Macaca fascicularis: one gene and its partner. The protein of the gene in region 1 purifies or fractionates together with the protein of each later gene. This does not show direct contact. Links are inferred from orthologs where the notes say so. Each region holds a gene or a part of one and is shown on either strand. Other genes may lie near its edges.

The links. Proteins that work in one complex are often made in the same cells at the same time.
Region 2: the proteins of CAMLG (region 1) and TNFRSF13B purify together in Homo sapiens (affinity purification with western blotting; 3 studies listed by BioGRID and IntAct, with this or other methods). This does not show direct contact. The link is inferred for Macaca fascicularis from reciprocal best matches to the Homo sapiens genes CAMLG and TNFRSF13B.

What each region holds. Positions count from the first base shown.
Region 1 is NC_088380.1:141,281,596-141,285,817, reverse strand, and holds part of CAMLG (guided entry of tail-anchored proteins factor CAMLG), read right to left. Parts: intron 3,796-4,222; coding exon 3,335-3,795; intron 1-3,334. UniProt on the Homo sapiens protein: Required for the post-translational delivery of tail-anchored (TA) proteins to the endoplasmic reticulum.
Region 2 is NC_088390.1:17,064,656-17,069,334, reverse strand, and holds the start of TNFRSF13B (tumor necrosis factor receptor superfamily member 13B), read left to right. Parts: upstream 1-1,548; 5' UTR 1,549-1,553; coding exon 1,554-1,614; intron 1,615-4,679. UniProt on the Homo sapiens protein: Receptor for TNFSF13/APRIL and TNFSF13B/TALL1/BAFF/BLYS that binds both ligands with similar high affinity. Mediates calcineurin-dependent activation of NF-AT, as well as activation of NF-kappa-B and AP-1.

The sequences.
Region 1 (4,222 bases):
TGTTGGCCAGGATGGTCTACAACTCCTGACCTCATGTGATCAACCCACCTCGGACTCCCAACATGCTGGGATTACAGGTGTGAGTCACTTCGCCTGGCAATTACTTTTTTTTTTTTAAGACGGAGTCTCATTCTGTCGCCCAGGCTGGAGTGCAGTGACGCAATCTCGGCTCACTGTGACCTCTGCCTCCTGGGTCCAAGCAATTCTCCTGCCTCAGTCTCCCATAAAATAGTAATTTTAATGGTTAAAAGTAATCTTGTTTCCTCAGAAGGGTGAAGAAAATAAAAGATTTGATTTCCTAACATAAAATATGTTTCTCAGGTCATACAATTCTTTCACATTCTTTTAGTGTCCCCAAAACTGTCTTCTCTCATAAAAACTCATCTTTTAAATTATTTAAAGTATTAAATAGTGACAGATGTTTAACACATCATGCAGTAACATCTCCGTCACCCAGAGGGAATTAATTGACATCCAGGAAGCACACAGACAAGGCCCAGCACTCAAAATAGATGGCATTCTTCCAGCTATGCAGAAGGCTGAGGCAGGAGGACTGCTTGAGCCCAGAAGTTCTAGTCCAGCCTGGGCACCACAGCAAGATCCTATCTCTAAAACGTTTTAAACAACAACAAAACTAAATGCTTGGCTGGGCATGGTGGCTCATGCCTGTAATCCTAGCACTTTGGGAAGCAGAGATGGGCGGATCACGAGGTCAAGAGATCGAGATGACCATCCTGGCTGACAAGGTGAAACCCTATCTCTGCTAAAAAATTAGCTGGGCATGGTGGGATTACAGGCATGAGCCACTGTGCCCAGCCCCTCATAACTACTTTTAAAATGAAACCATTAAGAAGTGAGTGAAGGAGCAAACGTTACTAGATGGCAGTATGGTGACAGCAGTAAGAAACAGTTGAAACTCTGATAGCAACAAAACCCAGAAAACCAAAACAAAAAAATTCACACAAAAATAGGCATAACATTAAAAGCATGAAAGCACAGAGCCCTTCAGATAGAGACAAAAAAGAGGCAGCTCATTAAATGCTGAAAGCATCACCGATCTTTGCATTATAGCAAACTATGTTGACAAGTTATTATCAAGGAAAAACAAATAAAATCTGTTCAACAGGTTCTATTTATGAAAACATCTGCATAAAAATAGATTTTAGGCCAGGCACGGTGGCTCACGCCTGTAATCCCAGCACTTTGGGAGGCAGTGGTGGGCAGATCACGAGGTCACGACATCGAGACCATCCTGGCTAACACGATGAAACCCCGTCTCTACTAAAAATACAAAAAATTAGCCGTGCATGGTGGCACGTGCCTGTAGTCCCAGCTACTCAGGAGGCTAAGGCAGGAGAATCACTTGAACCCAGGAGGTGGACATTGCAGTGAGCCGAGATTGCACCACTGCACTCCAGCCTAGGCGACAGAAACTCCATCTCAAAAAAAAAAAAAAAAAAAAAAAAAAGATTAAAAAAAACTGTTTTGCTTAATGATATAAACTTTAATTATCTGGATAATTTATTTATGTGCCTGGTACATATACCTAAAATGTCTACTGAATGGAAAAACCTCAGTGCAAGACACTGAACTATGAGCTATGCTTTTCTGTATTCTTCAATATACTGTAAAACAAAATAACCACATCATGGTACAACCAAAATGGACTCATTATGACACTACATTAAGAAATGCTGGCCGGGCGCGGTGGCTCAAGCCTGTAATCCCAGCACTTTGGGAGGCCGAGACGGGTGGATCATGAGGTCAGGAGATCGAGACCATCCTGGCTAACACGGTGAAACCCCGTCTCTACTAAAAAAAAATACAAAAAACTAGCCGGGCGAGGTGGCGGGCGCCTGTAGTCCCAGCTACTCGGGAGGCTGAGGCAGGAGAATGGCATAAACCCGGGAGGCGGAGCTTGCAGTGAGCTGAGATCCGGCCACTGCACTCCAGCCTGGGCGACAGAGCGAGACTCCGTCTCAAAAAAAAAAAAGAAATGCTGAAATGTCTTCTGAACCATAGGAAATTTACCTCATATTCAGGACCACAGGAACTGCATTTTACTATTTCAAATTATTTGAAAATTGATAATATACAGTATATATATATATGTAAAGCACTTAACCCTTTGGTTAAAGAATGAAACTGCTAAGGTTTAATCCCAGCATCACTTAGTAGCTGTGTGACCTTCGGCAAATGATTTAACCTCTCTGAGTCTTCATTTCCCAATGGATTCAAATAATACCAAGTTCATAAGAATGAGGATTAGATGAATTAATATACGCAAAGCAATGAGAAGGGTCCGTAGCATGAAAAAAGGGTTTCAGTAGAGTCATCCCTCAGTATCTGCAGAGGACTGGTACCAGGTTCCTCCTGATAGATGCTCAAGTCCCTTATGTAAAATGGCATAGTATTTGCATATAACCTACTCAATTCCTCCCATATACTTGAAATCATTTCTAGATTTTTTTATGCCTAATACAATGTAAATAGTTGTTATACTGTTTTTATTTGTATTATTTATTTATTTATTTATTTTTTTTTTTTTTTGAGACGGAGTCTCGCTCTGTGGCCCAGGCTGGAGTGCAGTGGCCAGATCTCAGATCACTGCAAGCTCCGCCTCCCAGGTTCACGCGGTTCTCCTGCCTCAGCCTCCCGAGTAGCTGGGACTACAGGCGCCCGCCACCTCGCCCGGCTAGTTTTTTGTATTTTTTAGTAGAGATGGGGTTTCACCAGGTTAGCCAGGATGGTCTCGATCTCCTGACCTTGTGATCCGCCCGTCTCGGCCTCCCAAAGTGCTGGGATTACAGGCTTGAGCCACCGCGCCCAGCCTTTATTTGTATTATTTATTATTTGTTATTATTGTATTATTTTTTCCCCAAATATATACACATACATATTATTTTTGAGACAGGGAGGGTCTCACTCTGTCACCCAGGCTGGAGTGCAGTGGCATTATCCTGGCTCACTGCAACCTCTGCCTGCCGGGTTCAAGCAATTCTCCTGCCTCAGCCTCCCAAGTAACTGGGATTACAGGCGTGCACCACCACGCCCGGCTAAATCCAAATACTTTCAATCCACAGTTGGTTGAATCCACATAGGGTGCAGAACCAACTGATATGGAGGACCAACAATAATTATTAGGCTCTGTATTTAACCAGAACACTTCATTCTATAAGATGAATAGCAAAGTTAATAATGTATCTTCAAACAGCCACATGGATCCGGTAGATATTAATTTTGGCAATGACTTCTATGGGTCAAAAGCACTCATAATTATTAACATTTTGCATTTTCCATTAAGTTAGTTAATAATTTACAGATCTTTTCTTACCAAGTATTTGCAAACAAAAGCTCTGACTCCAAGAGCAAGAAGAGCACATCCCACCAATCTAAATATTCGAAAAGAGTCAAATTCTTCTGTTGTACTTCCATCCTCTTGACTGGGTTTTTCACTAATCAGCTGTTTCCTTAGCTTCATTGCTTCTTCGAATCTGGAAAGGTACTGCTCTAGGCCATGGCGGGCACCCCTCTGGACTGAGTCCGCTGTCAAGTCCCCTCTGTTCCGCTGCCGGAGCTCAAGGTTGACATCATTACTGCACTCAGGTGGTTTAATGAAAGAGTCCAATTTGTCTCCCAGTTGGGTCCCCTTTACCTCGGCCACACCACCCTGCTGGTCAGTTGTTCCTGTACTGACTGAATCACCCAGCACTACTCGTTTTGAAACTGAAGGAACGCTGAGGGAGTTCAGTTTATCACTGTCCTGCTGCTTTGATTTTGTTTGACTTTCTTCTTCTGAGAAAAGAAATTTAAAAGCCTTATGTATTTATTACATACTGGCAAACACCTTACATGTTTATGTTTTAAAATATGCTGTTGCAGCTAGAACTCAGCAGTCTCTGAATCAAAATAAATAAATATTGATTCTGCATTAAAGAAAAGCTGGTTTCGGCCAGGCACAGTGGCTCACGCCTGTAATCCCAACACTTTGGGAGGCTGAGGTGGGCGCATCATGAGGTCAAGAGATTGAGACTATCCTAGCCAACATGGTGAAACTCCGTCACTACTAAAAATACAAAAATTAGCTGGGTGTGGTGGCATGTGCCTGCAGTCCCAGCTGTCTGTAGTCCCAGCTACTCTGGCTGAGGCAGGAGAATCGCTTGAAACCGGGAGGCAGAGGTTGCCATGAGCCGAGATTGCGCCACTGCACTCCGTCTGCATC
Region 2 (4,679 bases), on another chromosome or scaffold:
CCCTCCAGAACGCTGCTGCCAGCTCCCTCCCTCCAGCGGGACGTGAGGTTATGTTCTGTAGATCACCCCCTGCTCTTGATGTTATCAAACATTAAAACTTCGCAACCTAGTAGGTGAAAGTTAGTTTTTCATTGTTCAGTTGTGTTTTTCTGATTTTTGGGAGACTGGACATTTTCCGTGTTTGCTGACCGTTTGCATCTCCTCTCCTGCTCTGTGCTCCATCACCCTGCTCCAGCTGCTTCCCGGAGCCTCCTTCTTTACTCTCCACCTGCCCGCGTCCTCCTCGTCTTTCAGTTTCTTCCTAAGGGCCCATGGGCTTTCTTTGGTTTTTACGTTCCTCTCACTCTGCCTTTGGCTGTTTCTGGGCCTCCCATCTCCTGGGAGGTTTCAGAGGATGGGGAAGACACAGGAGTGTAGTCGCCATGCAGTGCAATATGGGCTGTAGTGTTCATCCTCCATGGCCTTTATTGAGGACTTACTGTGTGCCAAGAACCTGCTCTAAGAACGTAACTGTGCTCCCTCACTTCATGCTCATAACCACTTGTGAGACGGGCAATGTTCTCATCCTTTTTTTTTTTTTTTTTTTTTTTTTTGGAGATGGAGTCTCTGTTGCCCAGGCTGGAGTGCAATGGCATGATCTCGGCTCATTGCAACCTCCGCCTTGCAGGTTCAAGCCATTCTCCTGCCTCAGCCTCCCAAATAGCTGGGACTACAGGCACAGACTGGGACTACAGGCCACCACACCTGGCTAATTTTTTTGTTTTTTGTTTTTTGTTTTTTAGTAGAGATGGAATTTCATCATGTTGCCCAGGGTGGTCTCGAATTCCTGAACTCAGACAATCCACTCACCTTGGCCTCCCAAAGTGCTAGGATTACAGGCGTGAGCCATCAGGCCCGACCTCATCCTTGTTTTACACAGAGAACATGGAGGCACAGAGGAGTTCCATAAATTGCCACCAAGGCCTTCCACTGGTGTGCAGCAGAGTCAAGATTCAAACCCAGGCTGTCTGGCCCTGGGGTCCAGCCTCTCCAGTGCTCTGCTAGGTGCTGGACAGGGTCAACGAGACACAGAGAATGAGCACCACCTGACAGACTGGGACAGTCAGGGACGGCTTCCTGGAGGAGGTGACACCTCAATGGAGCCTTGAGGGAAGAGCAGGAGGGGCTGACCAGGCAATGAATAGAATAAGTATAACCAGGAAGAGGGAAAAGCCTGAGTGTTGCTGGGAGGCTGGAGAGCTGGCCTGGCTTGGGGTGTGTGCCAGGGGGGCAGGACCAAGGGATGGCCAGGGCCAGATCTAGAAAAGCCTGGGCCATCCCATAGTCAATACCTCATCGCAAGGCCCGGCAGGCCTTCCACTGCTCTGTGTGTACCCCATGGGACGCCAGGAGCCTGGGCTGCAGCCACCCACCTGGGCTCCTTAGACCCAGTGCACAGGCATGGGGGCGGGAGTGGGTGTGGCTGATTTACATCCAACAGGTTGAGGGGAAAACCCAGGAAGTGCAGCCCAGGCACTAATCAAATCTAAGACTAATAATAAGCATCCTGAGTAATGAGTGGCCTGGGCCGGAGCAGGCGAGGTGGCCGGAGCCGTGTGGACCAGGAGGAGCGGTGTGAGTAGCCGGGCAGGAGGGCAGGAGGGCAGGAGGGCAGGAGGGCAGGTGTGAGGTGTGAGGAGGGTTGGGCCTCAGTGCTGTGGGGGTTGGCAGTGTCTGGTGGGTGCAAGGCCCACAGCAGATCCACACACTGGGGCAGTCCCAGCCTCCCAAGCCCCGGCACATGGAGAGCCCTGGATCTGGATGCCTCTGGGGTGTGGGGCTTGCCTTCCGGGAGAGAAGCCATCGAGGCTGCAGGGTTGGCCACACCAGCAGGAATTCCCTTTGTCACCACGGCCCTCTGGACACCCCCTATTTTCCCCCTTACATGCCCGCTGGACCATTTTAATGCTAATCTCAAACACCAGATTGTTTGATTTGTAGAGACCACAGGATCTATTCCTTAAGAACACAAACTCTAAAACCAAAACAAAAAACGAAGCATCATACCATCACCCCTGCTGAAACAACAATTCCTGAACATCATCACATAGCCCGCCAGGGTTCAAACTGCCCCGACTATCTCATCTATGTCTTTCTCAGTTGATTTGTTCAAATCAGCCTGGCCCACATTAGACTTTTGGCTATGTTTTAATCTATAACAGTTTCCGCCCATTTTTTCCTCGGTTATTTATTTGTTGACAAAATTGGACTATTTATCCTATAGTTTTTTTTTTGTTTTTTTTGAGACAGAGTCTTGCTCTGTCACCCAGGCTGGAGTCAATGGCCTGATCTTGGCTTGCTACAACCTCCGCCTCCAGGGTTCAAGCTATTCTCCTGCCTCAGCCTCCCAAGTGACTGAGATTATAGGTGCTCACCACCACGCCCGGTTAATTTTTTGTATTTTTAGTAGAGATAGGCTTTCGCCATGTTGGCCAGTCTGGTCTCAAACTCCTGACCTCAGGTAATCTACCTGCCTCAGCCTCCCAAAGTGCTGGGATTACAGGCGTGAGCCACGGTGCCCGGCCCTTATAGCATTTTTATCAGAGTGAGTTTCTAAGGTTTTATGAAAGGGCCCCAGGTCCGTCACTGTGCAGACAGAACCCATGGCCAGATGGACCGGGGCACAGCCTAGATTCACAGCCTCTCCCTGCTGCTCTGTCCTACACCCCAGGCAGGGAGCAAATCTGTTCTCCCATCCTCTTTTGTGTCCAGCCACCATGTCCCCAGAATCTACCAAGTCAGGGGCTCAAATACATAAAGTTTCTGAGAGACTTGGACAAGGCAGTGACCAGAGGCTGCCTTGACACAGGATGAAATTGCCCAGGCCTCTGGCACCACGAGTCAGGACGCAGCTAGAACTGTGACCTGGCAGTGGCAGCAGCTGTCTGGTGCTGCCGAATCAGCCCTGAGCCACTCTGGGACCTTGGCTGAGCCGCTTCCCCTCAGTGTAAAATGAAGTAGACTGTCTTTCCTACCAGACATCCCTCAAAAACACAACAGTGCTTTGATGAAACTACCAGACCCCCTCTTGGGGAGTCACAAGGAAAGGCTCTGAGAAGACCTGCAGTTAAAAGAAATGCCTTGACTTTCTTTAACCCAGTGTTTTTCAAACTAATTTGATCACAGAGATCTTTCTTGGTATAGCACCTGTTAACCAGCCAAGCACGTGAGGAGGGACAAGCAGAGGGCTCTGATAATCACCCTCCTTGGCTGCTGTCTGGTCTCGGGATGCAGGAGAGAGTTTCCATCTTGCATCCAAATTTGTGGCGGCCCAGAGTGTGAGCCCAGCCCACAGAGCTAGTGTCAGATAGGAGTTCCCTTTCTTCCCTTTCCGTCAATGGAGCTTCTCTCTCAAGCTTCTATTCTGCCTGGCTGGTGTCAGTCATGGGGTTTTCCCACCCTCCTTTGGCACTTGATGATGGTTCTGGGATTTTATGTAGGTCCATATGGTGGTAGAGGAGGGGGCAGGGACAGGCCCACTGGTCAGCTTGGCATCTGCCATCTGGTCAGTCAGGCTCCATCTCTCCTTCAGGTCCAGTGGCTTTGGTGGCTTCCAGGCAATGAATGGGTCTTGGAACCTCTCCAAAGCTGCCCTTGTCACATAGAACCTCCTGCCCACCTTCCACTCAACCAACCCTTCACGGTGATATGCGGTGGGTGGCGGCTTTCTCCCTCTTTGCTCTTCCACCCAAATATGGGGAGAATCAGGGGTCTGTCTTTAATTTTGTTTGATCTTTTGATTTTAGATTTGCTTTTGAATAGATAGTATAGTCAGATGGTTTGAAACCCAGAAAGTATTGAAAGATATATAATAGAAAGTCTTTTTTTCTCCTTGTCCTCCATCTGCCAAGTTCCCACCTCCCCTAGAATAAGTAGCTTTATTTACATATAACTTACATGCCGTGAAATTCACCTGTGTAAAGTGTACAAGTCTGTGTTTTTGGTATATTTACAGAGTTGTGCAACCATCCCCGTAAGCTAATTTTAGAACATTTCGATGACCCCAAAAAGAAACTTTGTCAGTCTTCATTCCTCCCTAGCCCCAGGCTAATCTACTCTCTGTCTCTATAGATTTGCCTATTTTGGACATTTTCCATAAATGGAATCATATGTGGTGTATTGTGACTAGCTGTTTCCACTTGGCATAATGTTTTCAAGGGCCGTCCAAGTTGTAGCAGGTATCAGTACTTCCTTCAGTTTTGTGGCTAAATCACATTCCATTTTATGGATATATCATGTGGCTTATCCAGTCATCGGTGGATGGACATTTGGGATGTTTCTACTTTTTGTCACTGTGATTATTAACAATGCTTCTATGAACTTTTGGGTTTAAGTTTTAAGTGAACATGTCTTCTTTTCTCTTAGACGGATACCTACAAGTGGAATTGCTGGGTCATATGATACATTCTATGTTTAACATTTAAAGGAACTGCCAAATGCTTTCCAAAGTGGCTGCACTATTTTATAATTCACTTCAGGCACGAAGGTTCTGATTTCTCCACGTCTTCACTGACGCTTGTCATTGACCGTCTTTCTCATTCTAGCCATCCCAGGGGGTGTGAGGTGGTATCTCACTGTGGTTTGGATTTGCATTTCCCTAGTGACAAATGATGTTGAGCATCTTTTGCATGTGCTTTTTG